4 linked regions of the Alligator mississippiensis genome follow. The protein of the gene in region 1 purifies or fractionates together with the protein of each later gene. This does not show direct contact. Links are inferred from orthologs where the notes say so. Each region holds a gene or a part of one and is shown in the gene's direction. Other genes may lie near its edges.

Evidence for each region.
Region 2: the proteins of KAT8 (region 1) and PHF20L1 purify together in Homo sapiens (affinity purification with mass spectrometry; 3 studies listed by BioGRID and IntAct, with this or other methods). This does not show direct contact. The link is inferred for Alligator mississippiensis from reciprocal best matches to the Homo sapiens genes KAT8 and PHF20L1.
Region 3: the proteins of KAT8 (region 1) and PHF20 purify together in Homo sapiens (affinity purification with mass spectrometry; 3 studies listed by BioGRID and IntAct, counting the BioPlex papers as one, with this or other methods). This does not show direct contact. The link is inferred for Alligator mississippiensis from reciprocal best matches to the Homo sapiens genes KAT8 and PHF20.
Region 4: the proteins of KAT8 (region 1) and KANSL1 purify together in Homo sapiens (affinity purification with western blotting; 4 studies listed by BioGRID and IntAct, with this or other methods). This does not show direct contact. The link is inferred for Alligator mississippiensis from reciprocal best matches to the Homo sapiens genes KAT8 and KANSL1.

The regions. Positions count from the first base shown.
Region 1 is NC_081830.1:855,196-862,185, reverse strand, and holds the start of KAT8 (histone acetyltransferase KAT8), read left to right. Parts: upstream 1-3,978; 5' UTR 3,979-3,993; coding exon 3,994-4,189; intron 4,190-4,280; coding exon 4,281-4,355; intron 4,356-4,456; coding exon 4,457-4,632; intron 4,633-5,414; coding exon 5,415-5,468; intron 5,469-5,574; coding exon 5,575-5,739; intron 5,740-5,817; coding exon 5,818-5,907; intron 5,908-6,129; coding exon 6,130-6,270; intron 6,271-6,541; coding exon 6,542-6,635; intron 6,636-6,726; coding exon 6,727-6,877; intron 6,878-6,990. Other genes in the region: zinc finger protein OZF, read left to right, coding at 292-457, 984-1,954.
Region 2 is NC_081826.1:14,352,497-14,360,131, reverse strand, and holds the start of PHF20L1 (PHD finger protein 20-like protein 1), read left to right. Parts: upstream 1-4,618; 5' UTR 4,619-4,665; coding exon 4,666-4,706; intron 4,707-4,764; exon of another isoform or gene 4,765-4,864; intron 4,865-5,656; exon of another isoform or gene 5,657-5,660; coding exon 5,661-5,777; intron 5,778-7,635.
Region 3 is NC_081832.1:36,719,419-36,727,038, reverse strand, and holds the start of PHF20 (PHD finger protein 20), read left to right. Parts: upstream 1-4,607; 5' UTR 4,608-5,018; intron 5,019-7,620. UniProt on the Homo sapiens protein: Methyllysine-binding protein, component of the MOF histone acetyltransferase protein complex.
Region 4 is NC_081827.1:158,971,397-158,978,865, forward strand, and holds the start of KANSL1 (KAT8 regulatory NSL complex subunit 1), read left to right. Parts: upstream 1-4,467; 5' UTR 4,468-4,483; intron 4,484-4,594; exon of another isoform or gene 4,595-6,194; 5' UTR 6,195-6,328; intron 6,329-7,469. UniProt on the Homo sapiens protein: Non-catalytic component of the NSL histone acetyltransferase complex, a multiprotein complex that mediates histone H4 acetylation at 'Lys-5'- and 'Lys-8' (H4K5ac and H4K8ac) at transcription start sites and promotes transcription initiation.

The DNA.
Region 1 (6,990 bases):
TGCCCAGAGAGAGAGTTAAGACGTAACCAGCTCTGGGGTGGAGCAGGAGGGACAGGTTACAGCCACATATAACAGTGCCCAAGGAAGTGTTGAGATGCGACCAGCTCTGGGGGGAGCAGGAGGGAGGGGTTACAGCCACACGCAACACTGCCCAAAGGACTGAGATGCGACCAGCTCTGGGGGAGAGCAGAGGAACCAGCCACACAAAACACCGGCCCACAACTGGGCTCGCACTGCACATGACGCACCCCACCCCCACTGCCTTGTGACCCTCCGACTTTCCCCCTGCAGCTCACAGCACGGAGGGCGGAGCTTCTTGAGGAAGAGGTGGGACTGCCCAGAAAGGAGGCGGAGCTACCTGGGAGGACCAGCCCAATGGAGCCAGGTGAAGCCCCCAGCACCCCAGATCCCCAAGTCGGGGGGGGAGAAGAGGACGTCTCCAGAGCCGCCCGAGCAGGTGAGCCCAGCTCCCAACGCCCCCGGGGCAGCCCGGGCATCTTGGGGGGCAGGTCTGGTAGCCTACCCCCGTCACTGAGGGCAAATTGCAGCCCCAACCCACTCCCTGGGGGTGGGTGCTGCTGGCTACCAGACCCAGCTCGTGGTGGGGGTGTCGGCACCCCAGGAGGGACCGGAGGGAAGGAAACATCCTTCTTCCTTCTAAGAAGGGAGGTATTGGCGGCAGCCCAGAGAACCGGGAGAAGGGGCGGATATTTCCCAGCCCCCCAAGCAGCCCAGGCATGACCAGACCCCCAAGTCGAGCGGAGGGGCAAGGGACGGGTCCGTACCCGGTCTGGGCACCACAACCCAGAGCCGGAGGAGAGGCCTATCCCGCTCCTGGCCACCAGCACCTGATCTGCTGAGGCCGCTGGCTCCGTGTTGAGCAAAGAGCAGGTGGGAGAGCACAAGGGCGCTAGGCAAGGCTGGGCGGCGGGGCCGAGAGAGCCCCTCATCCTTCCTTCATCCACCCCCTTCTCTCCTCCCAGGTGCCCATGCAGCCGAGGACGCCCCCGTGCCACCTGTGAGACGCCGGCGGCGCCGGGCCGAAGGTGGCCTCATCAACCTCCTGGGCCTCCTGGAGCCCCAGCCCCGGGTGCGGGCCCGGCCCTACCGCTGCACCGACTGCGGCCGGGGCTTCAGCCAGAGCTCCAACCTGCTGGAGCACCAGCGGGTGCACTCAGGGGAGCGCCCCTTCACCTGCGGGGAGTGCGCCAAGAGCTTCGCCCGTGGGTCCACGCTGGCTGAGCATGTCCGCACGCACACCGGGGAGAAACCCTACCCCTGCCCGGACTGCGGGCGCCGCTTCGCCCGTGGCTCCACGCTGGCCGAGCACCGCCGGACCCACACGGGTGAGACCCCGTTCGCCTGCCGCGACTGCGGGCGCTGCTTCAGCCGCACCTCCAACCTGGCCAAGCACCAGCGCACGCACACGGGGGAGAAGCCCTACCCCTGCCCCGAGTGCGGGAAGCGCTTTGGCCTGCGCTCCAACCTGCTCAAGCACCTCCGCACGCACTCTGGGGAAAAGCCCTTCGCCTGCGGGCTCTGCGCCCGGCGCTTCAAGAAGAAGACCCACCTGGTGTCCCACGGGCGCACGCACACGGGCGAGCGGCCTTACGCCTGCGGGGACTGCGGGAAGAGCTTCGCCCAGAGCTCCACCCTCCTGGAGCACCAGCGCACCCACACCGGGGAGAAGCCGTACCCCTGCCCAGACTGCGGGAAGCGCTTCGGGGTCAGTTCCAACCTGGTGAAACACCGGCGGGTGCACACGGGGGAGAAGCCCTACGGCTGCAGCGCCTGTGGGCAGCGCTTCCGCTACAAGACCCAGTTCGCCCGGCACCAGAAGCTGCACCATGGGGGCAGCCAGGAGGAGGAGGAAGAGGAGGAGCCCATGGCTGTGCTGGCCGTGGGGCCCTGGGCCACTGCCAACCCGCTCGTGCCCATCCCGGAGACGGCTTGAAAAAATATTGCCCCCCAAAAACGCAGCAGGAGGGATTTGGGAATGCGCGTTGTAGCTGGGAAATATTGTAAGGGGCGTCACCTAGCCAGGGCAGCATGGGTGTACATTATAGGTGACGAATACAATAAGAGTGTGTCGTTCCCCCCCCCAAAACATAGCTGGTGGAAATTAGGAATGTGCTTTTTTGGTGAGAAATTGAGAAATACGGTAAGAACCTAGCCCAGAGGCAGCAAGGGTGCATGTTATAGGCAAAAAAATACGGTAAGAGCAGTTTTCCTGCTCCGGAGCAAGGGTGCATGTTATACGCAGGAAATACAGCAAAAGCAGTTTCCCATTTTGGGAGCAAGGGTGCACATCATACACAAGAAATACGGTAAGAGCAGTTTCTGCTGTTTATTGGGAGAAACCAATGGGTCATTTTGTATTTGAGAGACTATGGTATTCTCCTCCCCTTCCCTGCCAGATCCAACCCGTGTGGTCCAGCATCCCTGCTGCCCCAGGGCTAGGGAACTGCTCTTACCATATTTCTCACCTATAACGCGCACGCCCAATTTCCACACGTCCTTTCTCAGAGGGAAACACGTGAGACAAGGAGCCCCTCACATCTCCCCCGTGTCTAGCTCTGGGTCTTTATGGGTGGCCGTAGACTAGGAGCCACGGCCCCAAGCTTCAGCAGGGGAAACTGAGGCTGGAGAGGTGGAGGAAACTGCCGGCCGTGAGGTGGTCGAGTATTGAAGGAGGCACGTAGAGAGGCTGGAGACGCTGGAGCGGGATGCTTTCACCCGGGAGAACCTCGCCCTCGGGAAGAGCCTCGGTGACCTCACGGGAAGCCCGACTTTCCCATGATCCTTCAGGAGTTGCGGCGTCTCCATCCCCGGAGATTCGCAAGAGCCAGGTCGGTTGTGTCCTGGGCTGTCCCGCCTGGCACCTGTCACATCCCTCCCAGCTCGATCGTCCCATGATCCTCTGCTGCAGAACTGCATGCTGGGAGCTGAGAAGGGCTTCCCTCCGCACTGGACTCTCTGTTGGCCTCTTCCTCTCTGGGAGGTTCCTATTGGACCAGAGGAAGCTTGAGGTTGTTCCTATTGGATCAGGGGGACCTTCAAGACTGGGGGGGGGGGGTTTGAGTCCAGGCTGCGGGAGTTGCCGTTCCCGCCCCCCATCGTGGGAGGCCGCGTGTGACCCGCCAGACTCGATCCCCTTTCGTTTCAGCCAGGGCCGAGGGCACCGTAGCCCCGGCACTAACGGCACCCCGACGCCGGCCTGCTAGCCCTGGGTTACCCCAGAGGGGACCAACAGGGCGGCCGAGAGCAAGGAAGGGGGGCGGGGCATCTTTTCAGTACCGTATAGACTCGTGTACCACGCCCCCCGAAAATTAGCGATGGAAAGCAGCCTGAAACCGAATCGGATTGGATTTGATTAAACAGATCTCTCTCGCTCTTCTTTTTCTGTCTTCCTTCCGGCTTTCCAAAGCAGGTCTTATGTTGGGGGGGGGGTTATAGCTGGAGAAGTACAGTAGCCGGCGGCAAATGAATCCGATTGGATTTGATTCAACACGCACACGTGCACGTGCTCGCCCCCTCCCGCCTTTCCAAAGCAGGTGTTATTTTTGGCGGGGTGTTATAGCTGGGGAAATACGGTAGTTGGTGGAGTTTGGGAGCCCCGTGTGTCGCGCACGGGAAGTTACGGTAGGGCCCGTCCATTGGGGGGGCGGGGGGTGTCTAGGGCCTGATGGGGGCGGGTACCGTATCGCTGGGTACCGTATTGTCTGGAGTACGACGCGCAACTGGGGTAGAAGCACGCCGCTGCTTCCTGGGGGCAAAAGGGAGGGGTCGAGGCCGCGGTGCACACTGGGACACTGCTGGACACACACACACACACACACACACACACACACACACACACACACACACACACACACACACACCCCCTCACGTGACGCCCTCCCTCTCGCACGCTCCGTGACGTTACCACGCGCCCCCAGAACGCGAAAGGGGGGCGGTGCCCCTGCCGGCGCGTCACTTCCGGCGCGACGGGCCATGGAGGCGGCGGCGGGTCTGGGTGCGGGCCCGGCGGAGGCGGCGGAGCGGGACGGGCCGGGGTCGGGGTCGGGGCCCGAGGGGCCGGGGGCGGCAGCAGCGCCGCCCCCGGCCCCGCCGCCCGGCCCGCGCGAGGCGGAAGTGACGGTGGAGATCGGCGAGACCTACCTGTGCCGGCGCGCCGACGGGGCCTGGCGTGAGTGTGACGTAGGACACCCCGCAGTGACGTCAGGGGCTGCCCCCGTGACGTAGCCCCGCCCCCCCTGACGCGCGCCCGTTGCTTGCAGACTCGGCCGAGGTGATCCAGTCCCGCATCAACGAGCAGGAGTCGCGGGAGGAGTACTACGTGCACTATGTCGGCTGTGAGTGCGGGCGGGGCGGGGCGGGGCGGGGCGGGGCCCAGGCTCCCTGCGCCCCCCCCGCCCTTCTCACCCGCCCCGCCCCGCCCCGCCCCGCCCCGCAGTCAACCGGCGCCTGGACGAGTGGGTGGACAAGAACCGGCTGGCCCTCACCAAGACGGTCAAGGACGCGGTGCAGAAGAACACGGAGCAGTACATGAGCGAGCTGGCCGAGCAGCCCGAGCGCAAGATCACCCGCAACCAGAAGCGCAAGCACGATGAGATCAACCACGTCCAGAAGGTGGGGGCGGGCGGGCGGGCGGGGGCATAGGTCACAGCGTGCGTTGTGTACGAGGAAATACGGTAGCTCCCGTTGCCCTGCAGGGGGCGCGTGCGAGATGGAGCATGCGTGTCCTACGCGGGGAGATACGGTCGCTCCGCGTTGCTTTCCAGGGGTGCGGGAGAGATGAAGCGCGCCTGTTCTGTGTCAGGAAATACAACCGCTCTGTTTTCCTTCGGGGGACGGCATGTTCTCCTTGAGAAAATACGGCAGCTCCCCTTTCCCCGAGTGAAGGGAGGGGGAAGGTGCACGTTGCATACGAGAAAATGTGGCTTGCAGGCGGGGGGCAAAAGGGCACGGTGCATAGGAAAGATACGGTAGCTCCCAGCCTGAGAGCTGGAAGGCGTGTCTTCTACGTGAGACAATACGGTAGCTGTTTTTGCTGGGGTGGTTTTTGCCCTGCAGTGGGTGTCTGGGAAGTGGGAAGTGATGTGTGCTACACGGGAAAACACGGTAGCTTGCTTTTGCCCTGCAGGGCCTGTGTGAGAGTTGGGAGGCACATCTACACAAGAAAATACGGTAGCTTTCTTTTGCCCTGTAGAGAGGTGGAAAGTGACCTATGCTATAGGAGACAATAGGGTAGCATCCTTTTGCTGGCAGGTGCTGGGCAAAAGGGGCGTGGTCTACATGAGACAATACAGTAGTCATTTTTTTTTTTGCCCCGTAGGGGGTGCTCTGGGGGTAGGGGGGCGGAGCCTGATGCTGTCTCTGCCCCCCCCCCCCCCTTCTGCCTCTCCCCACAGACCTACGCAGAGATGGACCCCACCACGGCCGCCCTGGAGAAGGAGCACGAGGCGGTGAGAGGCTCTGAGGGGGCTGTGGGTCAGGGGCGAGGGGTACCACCGCGGGGACAGTGGCAGCGGGCCGGGAGGGAGGGGCACCGCTGACCCCGCCCCCCCCCAGATCACCAAGGTGAAGTACGTGGACAAGATCCACATCGGGCACTACGAGATCGACGCCTGGTACTTCTCGCCCTTCCCAGAGGATTATGGGAAGCAGCCGAAGCTCTGGATCTGCGAGTACTGCCTCAAGTACATGAAGTTCGAGAAGACCTACCGCTTCCACCTGGTGAGGGGCGGGGTTTGGGGCAGGGGGCGGGGCAGGAGTGAGGGGCACCGGCCTGACCCCGGCCCTTGACTCTGGCAGGGGCAGTGCCAGTGGCGCCAGCCCCCGGGGCGGGAGATCTACCGCAAGAGCAACATCTCCGTGTACGAGGTCGACGGGAAAGACCACAAGGTCAGTGCGGGGGAGGGCACCCGGATGCCAGGCTTCTGTGGGATGGGGGGGAGGGAGCAGGGGGAGCTGGGAGCCCCTCAAGCAGTGCCCCCCACATCCCACCAGTCAGCAGCTCCTTTCATCCCACTGCTCCCACCAGTTCTCTGGGCAGGGGCAGGGGCAGGGGCGGGGGAGTGGGGGGCTGAGAGCCTGGATTCTCCCATCCCGACACTTCCCCCCCAGATCTACTGCCAGAACCTGTGCCTATTGGCCAAGCTCTTCCTGGACCATAAGACCCTCTACTTCGACGTGGAGCCCTTCGTCTTCTACATCCTCACCGAGGTTGACCGCCAGGGTGCCCACATTGTCGGCTACTTCTCCAAGGTGCTGGCTGGCCCCCCAGACGCCTGGGTTCCCTCGGGGTGGGGGGCTGGCACAAGCCTGGACACCTCCCCCACAGCCCGCCCGATATCCCTCCCCACTGCTGCCACCAGTGAGCGGCTCCTCTCATCGCACTGCTACAAGGGGAGTTGGAGCTTGGGGGTGAGAGCAGGAGGACGGAGCCCAGCTGCCTGGGTGCTGTTGGGAGGTGACGAGAGTAGGGACCCAGATGCCTGGGTTCTGTCACACTCTTCCTGCCCCATCTCCCCCCCAGGAGAAAGAGTCTCCGGACGGCAACAACGTGGCCTGCATCCTCACTCTGCCCCCCTACCAGCGACGGGGCTACGGGAAATTCCTCATTGCCTTCAGTGAGTCTCCTTCCCCAGCATCACAGGGCCAGGTTGGTCCAGAGGAAGCAGGGCCCTGAGCCCCTCTCCGCGTCTTCTTACCCCCTTGCAGGCTACGAGCTGTCCAAGCTGGAGAGTACGGTGGGGTCGCCAGAGAAACCGCTCTCAGACCTGGGCAAGCTGAGCTACCGCAGCTACTGGTCCTGGGTGCTCCTGGAGATCCTGCGGGACTTCCGGGGCACCCTGTCCATCAAGGACCTCAGGTGAACGGGCGTGGGCTCCCAGCTGGGGGGCCACCTCAGCCCCTTCCTGCTGCGCATTGGCTCGTCTCCCATCCAGGGGCTGAGCTTGGCCCCTTCCTGCTTAGTCTTCAGGG
Region 2 (7,635 bases), on another chromosome or scaffold:
ACATTAATTTAATTTAAAAGGAGCTTCAAAACATCATGTTGGGTTTGAATTTAATAAACTTGCCAATTGAATTGTTTGAACAGTTTTCTTTTAAGAAAAAATACCCAAACAATATCCATTTTTCATTTTGTCAGAAGGAAGCTCTACTTCGTGCTTTCAAATGCTGTTTCACTCTTTAGACTTCAGATGACTCTCCTTTGTTGATTTTTCTCAACTTGTTAGATTCTCATAAATTCTTCTCTGCCAAAAAACCTTATCATATAAACCTACAAGTTTCACTAATCTTTCTCAAGTATTACCACTATAATATACAATGCTTATTTTAGATCCATATGTCTTTAGATCTGACTTGACTCAAAAAAGACACCTTGGTTAAAGTTTTGAGAGGAGCTCATTATCTCAATTATATAGTTGAACGCTCCCAAGAATTTGATGTGGCAGCACTAATAAAATGCTAGCTTAAAGCTATGCGGCCCAGGTTGTTTCCTAGGTAAGATGAAACATGGCTTTAGATATTTATGCAGACATTTATATTTCCTTAAAAAGCACCAACACTTAAGTATTCTTTTTCTATAGATACGGTGACTTAGGAATAAGATTGCTACCTCTTTTTAACTTGAATGCTTAGCCAAAACCTTGGTTTTATGAGTTACCCCAAAAAGGAAGACACTGTAATGATAAGATCAGGTGTTTCCCTGATGTAAGCCTGTTTACTTACAAAGAACAAAGTCCCGTTCCCCTCTAGTGGCAACCAAAAAAGAGATGATATTGTTGGTCAAAGCTCCAAGCCCTTTTTTCTAGGCAGCTCAAAAGCTCCCACTGACTTCCTCATTGCAATGTTTGATGTTTGCCCTAATCGCATTCTTGGGATGGAGACTGGCATTTGTTAGCATTGTGGTTGAATAAAAAAGTATTACTGTGGTCTTTGTTGCATATTACACTTAGGACAGGTTTTGTCTAGATTGCTGTAAGCGTTACTGAGAGTCATAAAGTTCTCCGAGCATGCGTATCGTAACCTTTACCATCATCTAACTGAAACCTGTCTTAAGAGCCGGAGCTGTTGAAGACTTCAGTATGGTGCTGGAGCTGGGATTGATAAATAGCTGTTTGTCAGTCCCAGCCCCGCAACTGCACCCAAGTTTCCTCATTATATTACCTCTGTGGAACAGTCAGGTGTTAGCTCAACACCTATTAGGTAATATTATCTGGAGCTACTTGTCACTGGAAAAGTCCTAATGTTGCTATGCTATGGTGGCCCCTAGCACCTGTTTTATTGCTTGAATGCTCAATAGATGCTAATGTTTTAAGTGCAGTTAACACATCCTGGAATGCAAAACTCTAGAACTCTTGGTTCACAGATGATACTTTTTATTAGACCAACAAATAAATTGGGGAAAAAAAAATCTTTTTCTGGAAGCTTTCAGGTACATGTGCCCTTCCTTAGACTCAAGGAAAATTAAAGATGGTAGAAAGTCCCTATAGGTAGAAAATAAACTTCATTTTTGCACAGAGGAAGCTAAAGGTGGAAGTTTGTTCCTCTGGCTCCATGAGAGTGTCTTTGTGATTTGCTCTTTGATATGCAGATAAGGCAGGATTCCTTCCTTGGTGGTGTCAGGTGGCAGAAAGGCAAGGAGGCATAGAAATCTTTCTGGTTGTTCAGCAATGAAGTTTTAGCCAATTTTGGATTTAAATTCAGCATCTTCCATGTTTCAGGGATGTATGTGGTAGCAAAGGAGTCCCTCAGAAGTTTTGAATCCAAGATGCCACAGTAGGGAAATAATATGGTCTATTCTAGCAAACTTTCTTCCATACAAACTTTTGTGGCAATTGTTTACATATTTCACCACTTCCATGAGTATTTTTACTTTTTTTTTTTTAGTGGCCAGTGGCTCTCCCCTGCCTCCCACCACCAGGCTCAGCTCCGTGGTGGTGGCGGCGGAGTCACTCAGAGCGCAGGCAGCGGGAGGAGACAGAGAGCCAGGGCTTCCTTCTGAGTGGCTCTGCCAGCCCCACGGAGCTCAGCCGGCGGCAGGAAACGGAGTGCAGCCCTGGCTCTCCCCTGCCTCCTGCCACTGGGCTGAGCTCCACGGGGCTGGCGGAGCCGGTTGGGGTAGAGCCCTGGCTCCTCCCCCCCCCTCCACCCCCCATCTCCTGCCACTGGGCTGTGCCCTGGGCAGCATTGCCAGTCCCACAGAGCTCAGCACCGTGGTGGGAGTCAGGGGAGAGTCAGGGTTACACTCCAACTCATAACTGGAAGCTTCAACTCATAACTACTACCACAGAGGAAGGAAGGAGTAGATACAAGCACTCAGAAAATGTACATGCCTAGTTCAGAGCTCTACAAACTAAAGCTCAAGTGCAGTGTAGCCACACACAACACTGGAAGCAACACACAACACTGGAAGCAAATGCATGTGTCCAGCAAATTAGCCATCCCAACACCTTAAGTCCTCCTGGGAGTCACTGCTTTGCCAGATATAATACTTTATAGACCTGGTCTGCAATATAGATGTGGATGATGCCCTGAATTTAGGCCTTGTGTGCTTTAGTAAAATTGAAGACACTTTTGTGTAAATAGCATATGCCTGCCTGAAGTTCCCCCTTACCATATCTAGTGTGCAATATACAGGTTTCCCTCGCTTTATGTTGTACACGCATTTCTGGAAAATAGCACATAACTTGAATTTGCATAAAGGAAACCCACTTTACAATATAACAAATAGGGATACGTTCCAAGACCTTGACTGTACTGACCCCCAGACCCATTTCTACCACTTTTACAAGACAATTTTGGCACTCACCAACAGCAGACAGCACACACAAGCACAGGGTGGTGGTGAAAGTTACCATAATGGGGATGGCAACTAAAGAAACACGTGTCGCAAACAAGCGAGGAACACAGATCCACAAAGAAGACTATATTTTGATGCGTGTCACTCCCACAATGCACTGCATAAAGCAGCTGACTGTGGGCTTCCAGCACACCAATCGAAGAGTGAATTTACCTCGCATATAATGAATTTTTGGTATAAAAAGGGGCATTGCATAAGAATGGATTTACCTATACAGAACCCGCATAAAGCGAGGGAAACTTGCAGTAGGTGTATTTTAGTTGTGCTCAAAATACAGAGCCAGATTGGGACAAGGGGGCAGCATCCCGATCCAGGGAGTAAGGAATCCAAACGTGCCTCCGCCTTGCTTCCTTGCATCCGATGTCCTACTAGCAATGTGAAGTCAGCTACACATACCCATTGGGTCCTGACTTTCCACAAGAGACGGAGACTCAATTTCATCTCTCTCAGCATCCCAGGCTGTACCATTGCAGCAGCATGCCGAGGACACACGCTGTGGGACACGTATAGACCAGGCACCGTTCATTTATTCCTTGGAAAGATGCAAGCAGCAGGAGAGGTACGAGCTGCCTGACTTTTATGGTGTGTCGGGGGCAGTGCAATAGTGATGTTGCTTATTAAGGTTGGATTGGAAACTGTCTAGCTCATGGGTGCCAATGATACGAACACTGTTAATTAATACAGCCACCTCTCCCAAGCCCCCTGTGGAGGACTGGAACCAGGCCAAATCCCCCCCCCCCAGTGTCAGTGAATTAGGTCTGGGCTGCTCGCACACTGTTCTCCACACAGGACCTGGCTGAAGCCAGGCCAAGTCCCTTTCCATTCGGTGGCTGGATCAGGGACTGCCCGCTCCCCAGGAGGCCAGATGGGGACCACCAGCCAGATCCAGCGAGCATGCCTATCCGGCCTGTTGAACGCTCTTGGTGCGGCCCAACTTCACGAAGGATTTCAGAAGCGGGAGCGGGTGTCTAAGCATCCTGACTTTCTTCTGCCGTTCCCAAAGACGGGGAGCACAGACGCCTTCGCGCCTCTTCTCCTGGCTCCAGCACCAGACTGCGAGCTCCGCCACGAGTCCGCCTCTTCTGACTCTTGTGGGTGGCGCAGATGCCAACCCTAAACAAACAGAGAAACCAACACCGCCTTTATCAAACATCCTCCCCCGGCGCTGCCTCCACACCAGCATCCCCGCCCCGCCACGTCCCCGCACACGAGCAGCAGAGCCACCCGCCGTCTCCGGTCGAATCTATGGCGGGACGCCACGCCGCGACGCTGCGACCGACTCAAGGTCGGGAAGGCGACGGCTGCGTCGTACTAACGCACGGGCCAAACGCATCCACCCGATCCCACGTTGAATTTGGGCAACAAATTAAATTTCTTTGAATATATTAAACACATGAATTAAAATTCACAGGAATTATTTTGACATTCACGTTAAGGATAATGATCCCACACTTAATTTTACAAACACCTGCTCTGTTATTGCCCCATGGGGTGGGGGGTTCTCCCTCGTTCCCGGAAAATGGGCAGCCGGGAAGAGGGAGGTCAAGGAAGAGGCTCCTGAAACCCCCCACGAGAACGCCTTCCCTCACAGCCCACTCCTTCCCCGCGCTCCGCCCCACATCAACTGCCGCCCCGCACCTCCCGCCCGCCTTTTATAGCCCACGTGACTCGCCTCCCGTAGCCCCACTCCCGCCCTCCTCCAGGCCGCTTCCCCCTCGTGGCCCCGCCCCGCGGCCGGCCCCTTCCTGCCCGCGGCCCCGCCCCCGCCGTAAAGCAGCGTCGCGCGGGGCGGCCGCGGTCACGTGACGCGGCGATGGCGGCCCCCGGCCCCGCCTCGCGGGGAGTCGCAGGGAGGTGACGGAGCGGCCGGCCGGCGGCGGGCGGGCGCGGGGCGCGGGTGGGGGGCGATGGGGCGCTGCTGAGGGAGGCCGCCCGGGCCCGACACCTCCGGCCGGGCCGGGCCGAGCCGGGGCCCGCGGGGCCGGGCCGGGCCGGGCCAGGCCGCGGCGGTGGTAAGGAGCCCGGCGGGACATACGCGTCCCCTCCGGCCCGGGGGTCGCGGCGGGGTCGGGGCACGTTTCCCAGACCGGGCCCCGGCGCATTCAGGGGTCCCCCCTCGCCCTGCCCCCGCGCCCCATGTCCTTCCCTCATGCCCAGCAAGAGCCGGAGAGGCCCCTCCATGAAGGGGTCTTCTCACGTGCCCCCCAAACAGGCCCAGAGCCCCCCGCGGTCTGGGCGTCTGCCCGCCGGTTTGGGGGCTGCCCCGACCCATCGGCACTGGTTGAAGGGGTTCCCCTCCTGTTGCTGAGAGCAGCCCTTTCAGGGCCCGTGTTTCTCGGCGGTCGAGATTCGAGCTCGCCGGCATGGGTCGGCTTCGTTTGTTCGTTCCCTCCGCGCGTGGACCGACCCCTTTCGCTCTTCCCCCGTAAAGCCCCTCTCGACGTGACGGCGAGGAAAACGTTGTAAGAGGACGAAGCGGTCGAGGGAGCTGGGGGTTGGTTAAGTGTAGTCCCAACACTTGGGTTTACTGCTTTGAAAATTAGGTGTTCTTTGAGTTGAGGATTTCTCCGCTTTTTGGGGGAGCGGTTAAAGTGCATTTCCGTGGGGTTGGGGTTTTTTTTGTTACGTCGTCCTGTCTATCGAAGGTTTCCGTTTCAGCGCGCTGCCGGGATTCACCAACGGCTGTAAATCTCCGATAGGTTTATATCTCTTCATAGACATCGTGCAGGGTGCTTGCTTAGGATGCCGCGTGCGATTTAAGCAGTGTTTCCTTCTTTGTAATATCCCACTATTCTTCTCTAAAGGTAGGAAAAAAAAGGAGAAGAGGATAGACATTACGAAGATGAGTAAAAAACCTCCCAATCGTCCTGGGATCACCTTCGAGATTGGTGCTCGGTTGGAGGCATTGGACTACTTGCAGAAATGGTATGGAAGAAATTATAATGTTTGCTTAGGTCAGATGATTTGACATCACCTGTAACCTGTCTGTAGCCAAAGCTTTTTGTTTTTAGTAAAAGCTTAAGGTATCATCGTCAATCATTGGTCCACGTATTAGTTTTGATGAATGTGGTTATTTAAGAGCAATCAGCTAAGATAGAGAGATTGGCAAAACTTTCTTTCCAAAATCCAAATGAAAGAAAATATTAAGCGTGTTTGGTTTTTCTTGCGTTTCTTGTCTGCAATCACTTACGCCATATGTTGGCTCTGCTTTCTGCTGCTGGCCACAGCTGTTTTGTGGAGTCAGCAAACCTGGGACTTCAGGCCATGGTAGTTTTGCTAGGCTAAGTCAATGCTTGTTAGTTCCTTTTGCTGTGGATCCCCATGAGTGTCAATGCTAACTTGGTATTTGCCTATACCCTGCCTGAGTTTTCTACGTGTGAAGGTATCTAGGAAATTTAGTAGTTAAAGGAAAACTTAGAGTATTTAGGCATGTAGTGTTGTGTGAAAGATAATTAAATACATTGATGTGATGAAGTCCAGTGAGTCTACAAGGATTTAGCTTATTTTTATTTTAAGTCATAAAAAGATTTTACAAATAGTAAGACTGAAAACATGACAAAAGTCTTCCATAATAATACTTCCGTGCCTTCCCAGTAACTGTTTGAAAACTAGTCTATTGCCATAGCTTGTTAAGCAGGTGAGTACAATAGCATCTGCATTTAATGGCTGGAGAAAGTGAGACATCAAAGATGCAACTTGGGCAAGGTCACACACCAAGTTTTGGGAGAGTTGGAAGACTTACTATTTAGTCCTGTGTTAAGCCATCTATTTACTTGGAGAGAAAATGGAAAATCAAAAGAGAAACCTCAGGCTTAATCAGAATTTGGCTAATAAGGAACTTGTTCATTTCTTGTTAATGTAGGGATGTATTGCCATGATTTGAAAGAGAATGTATTGCTGTGGTAGACTGAACTAACAGTATGTCTAGTCCAGTGTAGAAACTTCTTGATTTCCATCAGTTAGTCACTAGTTGCTGCCATGGAGCAGAAGAGTCTGGCTTCTGTATACGTTTTCCTCCTTTTTCCATGTCACTGGGTGGTGTAATTTGCATTAATACTTAATTGTGTTGACTGTGACAGAGCTACATGTCAGTCAGTTTAATGTGTTAGCTGTAGGGATACTCTGTAGGGACAGAAGGGTTAAATTAGGGGTGCACTGATAAAGATTTTTTGGGCCGATACTGATGGCCGATTATTAACCACCCATATCGGCTGATACCAATGCAATTGTTGATATGCAGTCTGGCAGCTTGGCATCCAGCTGGTAAGTCTGTTGAGGGGAAGTGGTGTCGGGGGTTGGGGGCAGGGGCAGGTGCTGCACAGCTGGGGGTAGGGGTACTGCTGTGTGTACCCTGGGGGAAGTATGGGGGGCATATGCCCCCTGGAGCTGTGGGGGTTGGGCCAGGGCTGTGCTCAAGTGGATTGCAGTGGGCGACAGCACTACAGTGGGGGTGGGGGTTATAGCCACCTTAATTTGCTGTAGCTGGTCCGTAGACCCTCCTCCCTCCCAGCACCACTGCCTCCACCTGCTCCGCACCCACCTGCAGCATCCCCACCGGGAAGAGTCCAGCACAATCCTTGGCCCCGAACCTGCAGCCTGCCCTCAGCCCACGCACAGATCTGGGGGCATGTGCCCCTCATACCTCACCCAGGGGTGCATGCAGCGGTAGGTGCTGCCTCTCCCACTCCCTCTAGATGAGCTGCCCACGGCTCCATCCTGTGCCCTGCCCTGGCTGGGCAGCACCTGCCCCAGCCCTACTCCCTCCCTCACAATGGAGGTCTCG
Region 3 (7,620 bases), on another chromosome or scaffold:
AGAATGACGACAAGCCTCTACCCCAGATAGGGGCAGGGTTTTGGGGTGAAAGCCTGCCGTTGGACAAGTATCAGGAACACAGGGCCTCTCGTCCATCTAGCAACATTGAGTTGTCCTCAACATCAAGAGGACAGTATCAGGATTCAAAATTACCTTTTACATGTATGAAAAATGGGTTGAAATAATCAGATGAAATTCAATAAAGACATGCGCAAAGATCACAAACTAAACATGAGTGCATTACTACAAAAAAAATGTTAATAGCATACCAGGAGGTATTAAAAGTGGTGATGAATACATCTGAATAGTCTTCAACTAAACACACAGAGGTGTAAGAGAGCAAATAAATACCTGGGGCAGCCTCAATACATGTTCTGATCATGGGGGTGCAGTCAGTCATTGCTGCAGTGGCAGCTATTTTTTGTGCATCCCCCTCACAAAGGTTGTACTCAGTGCTGCTGTAAAACTGCAAAAAAGGTTGTTAAAAAGATGGTAATCAATTCTTCTCTATGTCTATGGGGAACAGAAAGAGAAGTATTGAGTTTAAATAGCAACAAAGATTTAAGTTAGGAAGAACTATGCTATAAAGTTGGTTAGTGTGAAGAGATGAGAGAAAACTCTTCTGAGCTTGCAGCTGGAGGAAACTTACTGATCTGTCCACAGCTGACAACAGCGAGGGACCAGCAGCTGTCTTGGGAGCCCCACTTTATCATCAGCTGCTCCATCAGGATAGGCCTTGCCTGCAGCGGGGCTAGTACTTCTGGCCTTCTGTCAGGGCTGGAAAGAGAACGGGATGGATGCCAGATGAGAGCAGAGCCCTGGGATTGCCAAGATGCTGGTGAAGAAACTCTGGGCAGCAGAAAACAGGTGGAATTTCCCCTTGGGAGCCTGGAGAGGCCCTGATAATTTAAATGCCACCACAGAGCCTGCAATGGCGGGGAGCAGGAGGGAGCACCGGCGAGAAGCATAGCTAGATTAATGCACGGGCCAGTTGAGCACGAGCCCAGGGGCCCCTACCAATTAGGGCCCCGGGATCCTCATCAGCAGGGAAGTGAAAGCCGCAGTTTTAAACTCTGCGCCTATCTTTGGAGCCAAGTTTAAAACTGTGGCTTTCACATTTCTTCCCTGGGATCTGGAAGTGGGGCCCCTGTGACAATGGGGCTGTGGGGAGGGTCCGGTAGGGCTGGGGTTGGGCTGAGAGCGCCGTGCCGCGCCTGCGGGAGGGGTGGGTTAAGTGGCACCATGTCGAGGAGAGAGGGGGCCGAGACAGGCTGGGAGAGTTGTGCCCCACCTAGCGAGGGGGGTGGTTGGGGCTGGGCCGGGCTAGAAGTGCTGCACTGCACCTCTGTGGGCGGTAGTGCTGGGAAGACCTTGGTGGCTATAGCCCCACAAAATTCATCTTGGCCCCCCCACAGCCACCCCTCCCAGTGCCACCGCCTGCCTGCAGAGGCATGGCGTGGCGCTCCTGGCCTAGCCCAGTGGGCCCTCTGCATCTGCGGGGCTGCACAGGACATCCCAGCAGCAGCTCCCTGCAGGTCTGTGTAACCTGGGCTGGGCGGGGAGGGAGACTGAGCTGCAGGCAGCTTGTGGCAGGGGAGGGAAGGGTGGTGGAGGGGAGGGGAGGGGAGGGGGGACAGAGGGCTGCCTCCATGTGATCAGGAGTGAGGGGAAAGTGTGTGTGTGTGTGTGTGTGTGTGTGTCTGTCTGTCTATGTGTGTGTGTGTGTCCATGTGCAGAGAGGGCAGAGTGCACATGCCTGTGTGTGTCTGTGTACACCTGTGTGTGCACATTTGGCTGTAGTGGGGGCAGGAAGAAGAGGCGAGCATGTGCCCTCCAGCTTGGCAGGGTCCACCTAGCCTCTCCCACCAGCACTAGGAGAGGAAGGGGCCCCTCCCCCCTGCAACCCAGCTCCCATGGTGGGAAGGGGCCTCCAATTTTGTGATTGTTCAGGGCGCCAGTATACCTTAATTTGCCTCTGGCAAGGAGACATACCAAGAGAATTGGCAATCATGGGAGCTGGCAAGGCTCCAGGTCTTCTTGGTTCAGTTACTTTTACTTTCATTTACACTGCCACGGAGTCTGGGAGGCTGGGCTGCCACCACCTGAAAGAGGCGAAGAGAAAGGCAGTGCTGGCCCTGTGCCAGAAGCACATGGGTAAGTGAACCGACTCCAACACTCACAAGGAGCTGAGTCTATAAGGGTGGGTGGGCTGGCCTGTTGCGCCTGGGGAGCTGGCAGGTGCTGCTGAAGCCTTGATGACAGATGGTGAAGCATCCAAGGCTGAGAAATGCCTAAGATGTAGATGAAAAGGATCAGGGAGACTGACATATTTCTTTTTGTGTTCCTTTTATTTGTGAGGGCTGGGCACCTAGGAATGAACTGCAGCCCTAAGGACCGAATTACCTCATGGTTAGTGGCCTCCAGCCACAATGACCCTAGGGGCTGAGACTTACCTGAGTTCTGTTTCCCTGTTTTGTGTTGTCCTTCATTTCTCTTCTGTGTATCAAGCTGTGACCAAATGATTTGAAGGCTGGCTCAGCTGCAGTCCCCTTAAGCCAGGCTTGGGACAAATGCAGGCACACAGGAGCAAAGAATGGAAGAAGATAGCTCACTGAGAGCACAACATACACTGTAACAATGGGGTGGTGCTTGGAGTGGGTATAAGGGAGGTAGAAACCCCAAGGAAGAAACAGAACCAGCATATCTAGGACTTCATGCAGCAAAAATAGAGCACCTCCTGACAAAGGCATATTCAACACTAAGATGTGGCAGGTAAGAATTGGGTGACCTCCGCTGAGTGCTAGAAGTGGGTGAGTCTGTGTCCTCATGGCCCAGTCTCACAGGATGCAAGGGGCTGCAGCCTTACTTACACTGTGCTGACAATAGGCACCAGAACCAATTATCTAAAAAGGCTGAGTAATCTCTCTGTCATTGCAGGTTTTTACGGCTACAAGCAGATGTCACATTTGTCTTGGAAGAAAACATATTCCCCCAGGACCAAGTGTTCAAATTGTACTTGTCCCCCAGGACCAAGTACAATTGTCTTTGTCAGTTGTCATGGGACAACACCCCAGAAAAGATTTGTGGAATAAGTATTGTTTGTTCCAAAATATCATGACAGATGTCTGAACAGTTGTCCCAGGACATCATCCTGGGACAAGCTGGCCAGCTGGTCCTCCAAGCATCCTACAACATGGTGGTTCAGCTTAGTTCCCAACCCTCTTGAACGTGAAGCCACTATTGCCCTGATTACAGAACTCTGCTGCCCAGAGGTGACAGATGAGGGTGGCAACCTGGGGTCTATTAATGGGTCTGCATGGAGATATACCAGTGGTTTCATCCTTGCATCCACCCAAGATCAGCACTGAAGCCTACATCCACTCAACCAACAGCAAACTGTCTTCTCACCAGGGATCTCCAGCCACCTAACTATCCAGCACCAAGGAGGTCACTGGATCTAGCTACCACCCAGGGGCAAGTGCATCCTGTACAACCACATGCCCTTCAGCTTGCCTCCACTGTGCCCCAGCATGAAAGAGCAGGGTAGCAGCTAGCTGCAACTGGGAGAAGACAGAGGCTCTCAGAGCCATCTGGGGGCCTCGGGTCAGGCTGTGGATTGGATGCCACCAGGGGATAAACCAAAGTTCCCAGAAGGAACCTATTTAATAAGAAGACCCCAGGGTGGGTAATGCTAGTGCTTCTCTGTTTAGTGCCTTGATGCGTTGCATAGTTTCCCTCACAGCAAGCCTGGCTCCTTGACCCAGAGGCTTGTGTTCCCAGGATACAAAGATGCCCTAGGGCTGATGACCAGGGGTGGGAGGGGTGGTGCTGAGCGCACTGCAGGGGCTGTACTGGGCAACACTAGTGGCAATGTGTAGGAGGTGCATGAGGGTGCATGTGTACCCCCTGAGCATGGCGGTGCACCCCCTGCCAAAAGGGCCGCTGACAGTGCCTGCGGGCGGTTGCCGGTCATCACCCCCCTCCCCCCTTGCTTTTGTCTGCCGGCGGTCCCTGATCACCGCTGGCTGCTGCTGACACTGTTGGTGGCATCTGTGGGTGGTTGCCAACTGGCAGTTGGCACTTGCTACTCCCCCACCTATGCTGTGGCTGCCTGTGGGAGCTCCCTGCTTGTCGCTGCCACGCTCCTGCCACCTGCAGGAGCTCACCACACCCTCCCCAGCCTCTGGGGGCATGTGGCACTCATGGGTAGTGCCCAACAGTGTTGCCAGGTCTTAACTGTGAAATGATTGTATTGAAAGCTAAAAACTATCATATTTGCTGAAAAACTATCATACATTGAAAAATATGCAAATAAGGCTTCTTCTTATTTACTTTATATTACTCTCTGTAAGTGCCAGCAAGTGGGTGAAACTGGGTCATTAAAGTTGAAGCATTTCTTTATTTTGAGACAAGCAATAATAAGAAAGTGCTGATAAACCCAGAAGTCAGTTAAAGCTCCCTGAGAGTGACTTAGGTTTTGCATACGCTGTACCAATTAGCTGCCTCAAAAATTATCGTACATTTTGGACACTTTTACAATTGCTCATCCTACGTTCTACGAGGTTGAAGTTCTCGAACAAATGGTCTCACCTCCATACGCCCGCCCCGCCCGCAGGCTCCGGCGCCTCCCTTCACCTCGCGATCACCCTGCGGTCCCGCCCCCGAGACCCGCCTCGCTCGCTAGCCCGCGGGGAGCCGGGAGGCCGCAGCCGTGGCGGCCATTTTGTTGCGTTGCTTGGCCGGTGGCGCGGGCGTGTGTCCGGGTGCCCTTGTCTCTGCAGTTTGTCCCGTGCAGATTCCTCGGGAAGGAGCCGGCAGCACCCAGGCCTCGTCAAGCCCCTTTCCGGGGCCGCCTGCGGGCGGGGGAGGCAGGCCGAGCCCAATCCCGACCCGCACGCACCGCCCCCACAAAGTGGGGAGGGGAGGACTGGACCGGGCCGGGCGCCGTTCGTGGCCTCCCTGACTGCGGCGGCGGCCCGTGCGCGGGGCCGGGTCGCTCGGAGCTGCCGCGCGGACAGGTGAGTCTGTACGGCCCGAGCGCAGGCGGCGGCGAGACTGGGGCCCGGCCTCGCCGGACGCCCCCGCAGAGCCCGCGCTGCTGCGGCTCCTTCACATGGCCCCTGCGAGCGCGGGAGGCGGCGCGGCCGCGCTGCGGCTGGGAGCTCCCGCTGCCCTGTTGCTGCCGGGGCCGCTCCCTGCCTCCCGAGCCCGGCGGCTGCCGAGCAGCAGCGAGGGGCGAGAGCGGCGCGGCGGGTCCGACTGCGGCGACGCAGGAGCCGTAGCGGCTAGTGGCACAAAGACTTTTCCCCCTCTTCTGGGGTGACGTCAGCGGGAAGGGGTGTTTTGGGGGCAAAATGGAGCCTGTTTGGAAAGTTTGTAAACCGGCCTGTGCTTTTGCAGTTAAGTGCAGAGGAGGAGGGCGGCAAAAGCAAGCTAAGACACGCCCCGCGTTTCCGCTGAGCAGGATTTTTATGAGAACGGGTCTTCTAGTGGCAAAATCCCGAACTGGTGCCTTCCCCTGGCTCATTTAACTTTCCTTACACTGCCTTTGTCAAAGAACCTAGCTATGCATCGCAGCAGCTACCTGTGGCCCCTTGGCAGAGTGGACCAGTACACCAAGTTCTAGTTTCTAGAACAGTGGGTTTCAACCTTTTTTTTCATTTGCAGACCCCTTTGAATTTTAAGTGTGGGTATTTTTGATTCATCATAATCATCTTTTGCAGGCCCCTTAGACATAGATTGCAGACTCCTAGGGGTCTGGAAACCACAGGTTGAAAACTGCTGTTCTAGAAGGCTTGAATAAATTAAATTGCAACCAAAAACGAGTTGGATTACAGAACAAAAAGGGCATTCAGGAAAATTTAATCTGCTCAAGCAAGGCATCCTAATTAGTAATGTAGGTAGGCTAGTTAAGAATTGAAGCAGATTGGCAGTAGTGTCTGATACAAGGTATCTCTGAACCAAGAGTTCTAGAGAGGTTTGTTTTTTGTGGGTTTTTTTGGAAAAAAAATATTTAGAAAGCAGTATGCATCTTTTAATTTAGCTTTGAATAATTAACTTCTCACTTTGGAAAACCATGGAAAAATTCCTCTGCCCTTGATTTATTCTGATTCCAGATTTTTAAAGAAACTTTAACTAAAATTATAACACGTTTTTCAAGCACACTTCCATTATTGGTAGAGTGGATAAATTAAATCAAGATGGATTGTAATTTACATTTTTGAAACATCCATGTGATATGGAATTTTAGGTAGTGTGTGATATTGTGCAGTACACCAAAAAATTGCAGCTCTATTTGAAGCTAAGTATTTTGTCATTTTACTTAATTGAAACTTACCAAGTTTGAAGTTAGACTTAATGGCTGCTTTCAGACATGTCTGAACAACAACAATCCCTCCCCCCCCAATGCTTTACTGGAAGCAGTAGCGCATTATTACGACCTGGCCGCTGCAGGATCTGTATAGATAAGGCGCTTTAGCAGGGCTTTGTCGCTTTTATCTAAAGCTGATTCAATTGGCTATTAGGTAGAAGCCGCAACAAGTCACAGTAAAGCGCCCAATCTATAGATGCTGCAGAGCTGGGTTGAATTAATGCGAGGCCTCTTCTAGGCATGTGCTGGGCTCAGTGCAGGAGTGCACTAAGTTTAAAGTGTGTGTCTTGGGGTTTTTTTTGCTTTTTTTTCTATATCTGCAAGCAGCCAGTGTTCTTTTCCTGTTACTTGTCTGTTAGTGTTTTTTTCTCAATGGAAATGAGACTGTTTACCTTAATCATTTTGAGAGTAAATTATTCCAGGTTGTAAATCTTCATTTGTGAATAAGTATGGATTCATTATTACACACGTGTCTGAATGCAGGCAGTAACTGTGATAATAGAAGTCTTGCGCTATACCAAATGCCCATTTTTCTTTGTCCTGATCAGGTTCTCTGTGTTCTTTCCCTGAAAACACTTCTTACTCTAGTTCTCTCAGTTCCTTGTTGATCTCTTAAATATTTGTATTTGACATAAATGAGAACTTGTTAGATTTCTTGAACTTGTGATTCCCAGGAATAAAGTAGTAATTTTGAATACAAAACAAGATGACATGGACTATATAGTTTGGAATACACAAACTTTATGGATTGCCATTAGATCTGTAGGCTTCATTCTATAAAATGAGGGTTCATAGCTGTCTGCTTGGTGGAAGTGTGTGGGGAAGCAAGCATATTGCAGGGGCGATGATGAGTCTTCAGTCTTACCTCCAGTTATTCACGGTCTTTGTAAGGGGGTGGTACACACCTTTCTGGGCCAAACGTGCTTCTCCAGCAAAATATATGATCTGTATTTCAAGTCACCAACACAATTTATTACGTAAGTACTAGTAGCAAATGAGTGAAAATACTAGTTTTAGGATGCTATCTTCCTTTGAGGGGAAGGTGGTGGGGGGGGGAGGAAGTGGCCCGCCCACACCCAGTGCCCTGCGTGGTAGCTGCTTGCAGCCTGTGTGGGGCTGCCTGTGCTTGCTCCGAACAGCCCCATGCATGCTGCAAGCAGCTGCAGCGTGAGGTACTGGCTGTGGGGCCGGGGGAGGGGCTGCCCCCCCCCCCCTGCACTCAGCTTTTCCCTGGGCTCCTTCCCTGCATG
Region 4 (7,469 bases), on another chromosome or scaffold:
CTGATATCTTTTATTAGACCAGCGCAGATAATTGGAAAAATTATTTGTATCAATCTTCAAGTTTTAAGTTTAAGCAAGGTTTAAATACCCTTCATCAGGCTGAGGAAGCATCTGCAGTTGGTGTGTGCTCTTTCTGGATGGAATGAATAGTAAAGAAGCCAGAGCCTGGTATGCATGCAAGAAATGCAGTCAGTGAAGATGTAAATAGAGGAGTCAGTGGGTGAGAGAGAGGCTGGTGGCGAGAGGGAGAGAGGGATGCATGTAGCAGGTAAATAGTGGAGAGGTACCTGGGGAGTCAGATGTCAGGCAGGTTATAATGTGTCATAAATCCAGTGTCTATATTTAGTCCATGATTTTTTGTATCCAGGAGGTTGATCAAGTGAAGTGAAGTTCATCTGTGAAAAGTGTTTTGTAAATTCCCTTTGAGGATTAGAACTGAGAGATTGGAAAGAGAGTGGTTTTCATGTGAGAAATTTGCCCCCCACCAGTAATTGGGTATTTTTGGTTCCATCTAGGTTTCCAGTGTGCGTTCATTCTGGTGTGCAGTTGTTGTTTGGTCTCTCCTACGTATTTTCCATCAGAGCGTTTGGTGCATTGGATGAGATATATTACATTTTTGGATGTGCAGCTGTAAGATCTGGGACTGCTGGTGGCTCTGTTGTGGAGTGTAGTAAGTGTGGGGGTGGTGGAGGTGTGTTGGTAGGATTTACATTTCTTGTCATGGCATGGTCTGGATCCATTTGGTGTGGTTTGTGCCCTAGGAAGTTTGCGTTTCGTGATGAAGTTAGTGAGGTTCGGTGCTTGTTTGAAGGCTAGGATGGGTAGTTCTGGGAAGATCTCTTAAGAACAGGGTCTCCTTCTAGTATGGGTTACAATTGTTTGAAGATTTTCCATATAGGTTCGAGGGAGGGGTGATACGTCATAAGCAGTGGTGTGTGATTCGTGGGGGGTTTTCTTCTGTATTGCAGCAATTCTTCACATGGTATCTGGATAGCTGCAGCACCCAGTGGCCACAAGCTGGCTATAGGTGGGCCTGGGTGCTGCCAGGCCTGTTAGATGCCTGCAGCACCCTATGCAGCTGGATGGCATGGCCCTGGCAGCCATGCAGTGATGCAGTGCCAGGGAATAGCATTGGGGTTCAGGCAGCCTGTCCTGGGGAATGCAGTGGCCACGGGCTGCCAGGAAATGCCCCTGAGCCCCAGCATCCCTGCAGCCCCAGCGTCCCTGCAGTCCCTGGGGCTGGGACAGGCATAGAGCTGGCCCAGCCCTGGGGTAGGAGAGGCTCCCAGCCTCAGGGCCCTGGGGCTAGCCTGAGGCTGCCCCCCTTATGGTGGGGCTGACTGGGAGTAAATTTGCTCCTGGTCAGCATCTACATGTGCGCTATTGCGCAGTAACTAATTGAGAATAAATTTGCTACTTGTATTTGCAGGTAGCAAATTTGCTTGTGATTAGAGCAGTTTACTGTGCAGTAAGCATCTGTACATGTAGACACGGATGCTTAATGTGCAGTAATTTGCTCAACTGCACAGCAAAGCATCTTGTGTAGATGCACCCAGTGTTGACAATATAAGCCTTAGGCCTTATATATAAGCCTAAGGCCTTAGCCTTAGGCCTTATATATGTCTTAAGACATATACTCTAAGGAAGAGAATAGAACAGTGATTCACAAACAGGGGCCCACAGATATTAAGGGTGTTGTGCCTTATTGAAAACTGTTAGGTGTGCAAATACATGAGTCACAAGATAAACCCAGAGATTTGAAATGGGTATCCATAGTATCAGGGAGATTCTGACCTGTTATTTTCTTTCTGAGATTTTTAGAACAGAAGACTTGCTCTATTATTTTTTAGTAGTCAAAACGTTAACCTAAGAACCAGCATTTTGTGAGGGGTAATATAAAAAGATGGATAACCACTGGCTAAAATTTCCTGACAATAGGATTCGAATGAGTACTGTGAACGCACCATTTTCTTAGAGTGGCCATGACCAAAACCAGAGGATTAAATATGGAACTACAGAATTTTTCAGCTTCTCATCCTTCCTTGTAGAAAGAAGCAGTTACCCATGCTAGTCTGAAGTTTGACAGGAGGTAGGGCAGGATAGCATAACAGACTAACAACCCAACACAGCTACCTACCTCTCTAATGTGCCACCCTGCCCTTTATCCTTGTGTGTCCTCTCCTTGGCTTAGCTCTGCTTTCCATCTTCATTTGTGAAACAGAACGGTTGGAACAGCAACCACAATTTTAAAGGGAAAAAATAATCACTTTTCAAAGGGAAAAGAATAGTTTCAGTTGAATGCAAGGAAATATATATAGAGGGCTTTGGCAATGTGTCTTGAAAGGGGTAGGTATTTATCTCAGTATCAGTCAGGATGGTACCTGTGAACTGTGCTGTCTCAGGCTGTGACAGCCAGGTGCATCTGGACACTGGTAACAGCAAAGACAAGGAAAAGATCCTGATGATCGTCATGACCATTCTCTTTGAGAACCAGTGGCAGGTTTTTAATGGTATCTGGTATCATTTGATGGTCAAGGGATATCTGTGTCAAACACATCACGGGTTATTGCTAATACGAATGAGGGGATGGATTGAAACTCCCTCACACACACCAAAGTCACAAAGACAGTTAATGTCATTAAATATTACCCATCCCAGCAATTATATACCACATTAAAAACATTGTTTGAAAGTGTTTTACAGTCTGACAACTGTGCACATGTGGTAACCATGCACGGGGTCCTGTTTCTCTTCTCTCCATAGTGTTGCATTGCAACTTCTTAACCCCTTTACCCAGAGCTAACATAGGTTGCATAACTAACTGCGTGGCTTAGCCTGTGCTAACATATGCCAGCCACATATTCATGTGGCTACTATGTGCAGAATCCTCCAACTCTGCAAAGCCATAATTTGAACATTCTGCAGAGACGCTAGGTATTATTATATTACCTGCTCTTCTGTTATCATTATATTGTCACTGTGTGCCTACTGGGGCTGCTGTTATTTTGTCTTTTTTCTTTCCACTTTCTTCTCTCTTCTTCCTCTCTGTCCTTCATTGGTAGCATTTCTCTTCATTCCCCTTGTCTCACCCCTTCCTAGCTCTTCCTCCTCTACCACTATCTCACCTATATTTATCTTCTCTTGTCCTACTTAGGTACAAAATTATACTTTTGTCCCTCTAGTATATACTCTGCTACTATCTGCCTTCCACTTCTGCAGCGGGACAGAGGAGAAACAGCTAAAATATTAGTCTAACAGCTACCTATAGTGGCAGCAAACCTGTCTATAGGCCTGCCACTTGTAGCCCTGCCTGCTTCTATCTGGCTGTTTCCTGCAGCAGTGGCTGCTCACATCAGAGTATTGTACAGGTGGTGGCTGGTTTCATAAAATCACAGAAAGCTAGGGCTGGAAGGGACCTCAGGAGGTCATCTAGTCCAGCCCCCTGCTCCAAGAAGGACCAGCCCCAACTAGATCATCCCAGCCAAGGCTTTGTCTAGCCAGGCCTTAAAAGCCTCCAAGGACAGAGAGTCCTAACAATGGAAAACAATCCTTGATAAGCATTTGCACTGCCCTGACCATGGGTGACTGGTGCCTCCCGAGTCTGGGGGGGCACCAGTGGGGCACGACGGGGCGGGTAGCCAATTTCTGGGGGGCACTAGCACTCTCTGTGCCCCCTACCAGCCGGAGCGCTTGCTGTTGGGGGGGTGGGGGGGGTGCCCCCTCTACGTGTTGCCTGTGGCCCTGACTAACTGCCATTTGCCCTGACTAACTGCCGTTACTAACTGCCCCGGCTGCCCTGGTAGTTCCTTTGGGTGGCGGGGCTTTGGGGCAATGACCAATACACTTTGTGCCAAAGGAGGACAACACAGCTTTCTGCTTGTTGGGAAAGCAACAGGGACCGGCCCTGGATGGCCAGGGCCACCTGCCCTGCTGACACGGCTCTCCTTCCCCATGGCGCCCAGCTCGGAGCCGCCTGGTGCTGCCCGCGGGGAGCTGCCCCCATCTCCCTTCCTTGGTCGGGCCTAGGTGGGGCGTGATGGACTGTGTCGTTGCTCAGAAAGCCTCTGAGCTCCGGAGGTGTCCGTGTCCCCGGCGGAGGCCTGCGGCCCTCAGGCGGGGCAGTCTGGGCACCCCCGAGCAGAAGCAGGGGCACGAGGCTCCCCTGCCGCCGGGGGCATCTCCCCTCCCCGCCGCACGCAGCCCGCGGGACGCGGACACTGAGGCAGGGGCAGGGGCCGGGCCCTGCCCCCCTACCCCCTTCACACATCTCGGGGAAGCACAAGCGGAGGCAGGGACCAGCGAGGCGCCCGCATCAATCACCGCCTTGCCCCGCCCCCGGCTCTGACTGACACCCCCTCCTCCAACCCCGGCGGCCCATGCCCTGCCCGCAGCCAATGAGCGCGGAGGAGGGCGGAAGATCCCCGCTTCAAGGCTGGTTGAGCGGTGCAGGTAGGTGCGGGATGTGGAGTCGTCGCTGGGGCTGGTGCGGTCGGGAGGAAAACGGGGCAGCGCCCGGGCCGGGCGACAGGGCTGGGCTGGGGCCGCGGGTGGGCGGGCTAGGCCGGGTCGGGCTGGTGGTGGGGTGAGGCTCGCAGGGCACCCGCCGCCTGCTCCTGCCTCTGCCCCAGCCCCAGCCAGCAGCAGGCCAAGTAGCGCCCGCCGCCCGCTCCGGCAACTTTGCACGAGGAGGCGGCCGGGCTGGGGCTGGGGCTGGGGCCGGGGCCGGGCAGGGCCCGAACTTTATTTGCTCGCGGTCTGAGCCCGGTCCTGCCGCCGAGCGTCGGGTCCGGTTCGCTCCGCGCGGGCAGCGGCTGCTGGGAGCGAATTGAGCAGGCCGAGGCCGGGGGGAGGGGACAGGGGTTTGCTTCCAGCACAGCCAGAAAGTGAGTTGGGTCGGAGGAAAAGGCAGGGCGAGGGAGACCGGGAAGTTTGAAGCCCGACGTGACATGGGAGTAGGAAGGGGAGAGCCGCGGCCAGAGGAAGAGCTGTTTTGTTGCATTCGCAACAATGGGGATGGAGAAGGGAGCAGGCCAAGTGCTGGGAGCAGGGATGGGGCAGAGGGGATCCGGCACAGAGGGCTCCTCTCTGCACCAGGCCTGTGCCAAGAAACCACAGGATTGCCTCCCTGCAGATCAGGCTTTTAAAAAGTGTCTGCCTTAACGTGCTGGATTTGAAAAGGGTTTTGAGTGCTTGGCACACAGTTCCCTTGTAACTTCCCAACTGCAGTGAACCTGAATGGGGCATTTGAGTTTTTGGGGCTTTTCAGCCCTTGTGGTTTTGAATCAGGCTTTACATTTTGATGGCTTGTAAAACAAGGGGAAAAAAATTCCCCACAACAGCTAAACAATTTTCAGAAGCAAAAGAAGTTAAGAGCTGGCATTGCTGGAGCAATAGCAGCATAGGACTAAGGGCTTCATACACTACATTTGAGGAAATGAGGTAGAAAAGATGTCTGTTGTCCCTTCTTGTTTTGGCATCCCCATTTTACCCAAACATAATTAAACAAAACTATCAAATTCCAAGCTTCCAGATGAATGCTTTGCATTTAGCTTGTCTAACTTGGTCCCGATTATAGTTGGTCAAATTAAAAAAAAATATAACTAGAAAAAAGCTTTGCCAGCTATGATATCATTCTAAAACTTCCAGGAAGCACTCCAGAAAGTTGGGTTTTTTTTGGTTGTTTTAACACCTCTTTTTCCCCCCTCCTCCCCCCCAACACGTGCACACACCTTCCCCTCTTGCTCCTCACTAAAGTCTTTATCATGGTAAAAACATTTTACTTTCAAAAGTCAGATTATTAAATATGATAGGAAATTAAGTGGTTCAGGTAATACAGAGGGAAATTCAACAAATGTGGTTTTTATGAGTCTGAGGAAGTTAGGCACTCAAATCTTGATCTCCTTCACATTCTTTTGGATCCTCTACTTAAATTGTTGATCTATACCCTGTACAGATTTTTTTTTTTGTATTTTTCAATTGCTTTGGCTTAAAAGGTACTGGAATGTGTCAGTGCTCAATTTGCTGTGATTTATTGTAGAGCTCACTTGTGTACTATATTCCATATTTGTGGCAAGACATATTTTTAATCATATCCTCAAAATCTTTTTTTTTCTTGAGGCAAGTTGAATATTGTCATGTATGTTTTGTTTGTAAGCTATATTTATTTCCTCTGTCTTAATATATTCTTGTTCTAGATACCAAGTTTCCACTTCTTAAAATAAGCTAATAGTGCATGGTTGCACCTGGAAGAATTAAACTCCCTTGCTCCTCCATCCTGAGCCTTTTCTGAACCGCTGTAGACATGGATTCTTCCAAGATGGTCTGCAAGGTAGGACCTCTCATTCTTTCAAAGTTGTAGTGGCATATTTTTCTTAAAGATCTATTAAACATTCAGAACTATCTGAACTGTGAAAATCATCATGGTATTTACAGGCTCTGTTCAGGAATCAGATTGTTATTTATGTCCAGACGAAACTTAAGAAGTGGGTTCCCTTTGTAATTTCTTTATGGCAGATAATCCTAAAATAGAGATTTGGGAATGTGTCTAGAAATGTTGGGTTCTTTACAGTGTTTTTGAATTTTTTTTAACACATGCAGCTGCTTTTGTATGTGTGTGCTTGATGTTCAGCCTAATTTTCCTGGTCTTGTACCTGGAATTCCTGGTACACTGATTTGACACACCCAAAATTTTATAACTACCATAAAAATGGTCTCTTTCCCTGTTTTATACACTTTTCAAATGCTTGTATATGCCTACCGTGTTCTTTGTTGACATATTTGCTTTGAAGAAGTAGAGCATTATATACAGGCATCCCGCATCTTACGTGCATTTAACTTGCGCAAATTCAACTATACGTGGGTGGGGAGTGGGGCTTGAGTCTGCAAGTGGCGCTGCCGCTTACCTGGAGGCCCAGCCACCACCACGTTGCCAGCGGTGACTGCCTCTGCCTCCAAAACCTCCCGCCGCCGCCATGGAGCCGTGCCCAGAGCTGTGTGGCCAGCTGCCAGGTGCGGTGGTGGCCAGGTGGCACACAGCCATCCCCACCACCACCACCCTGTGCTGCACTGCTGCCGCCAGCCGCACAACTATAGGCGCGACTCTGCAGTGGTGGCGGGAGGTGTTGGAGGCAGAGGCAGTCGCCGCTGGCATGGTAATATGTGATTTCACCATACGCGATTTTCGCCTTTACGCGCTGCCTTTAGAACGTAACCCCCGCGTAAGATGTGGGATGCCTGTAAATAGCACTAATGATGTAAGGTCTACAGCTGTCTTTTGCCAATATATTTGCATTTAATTAAAACCTAAGATGAAATCATAAAAAGGTTAAGGACCCTAAAATAGGAAAGAACCAAAATCTTGCCCTTGGCTGGATTTCTTTCTTTTCTCCATTGTTTTGACATCCAGTTCTCTTTTCCTCCCCATCTAAGCTAGACAGGCCAAATTTAATTCTACTGAAGTCTGGGTCATA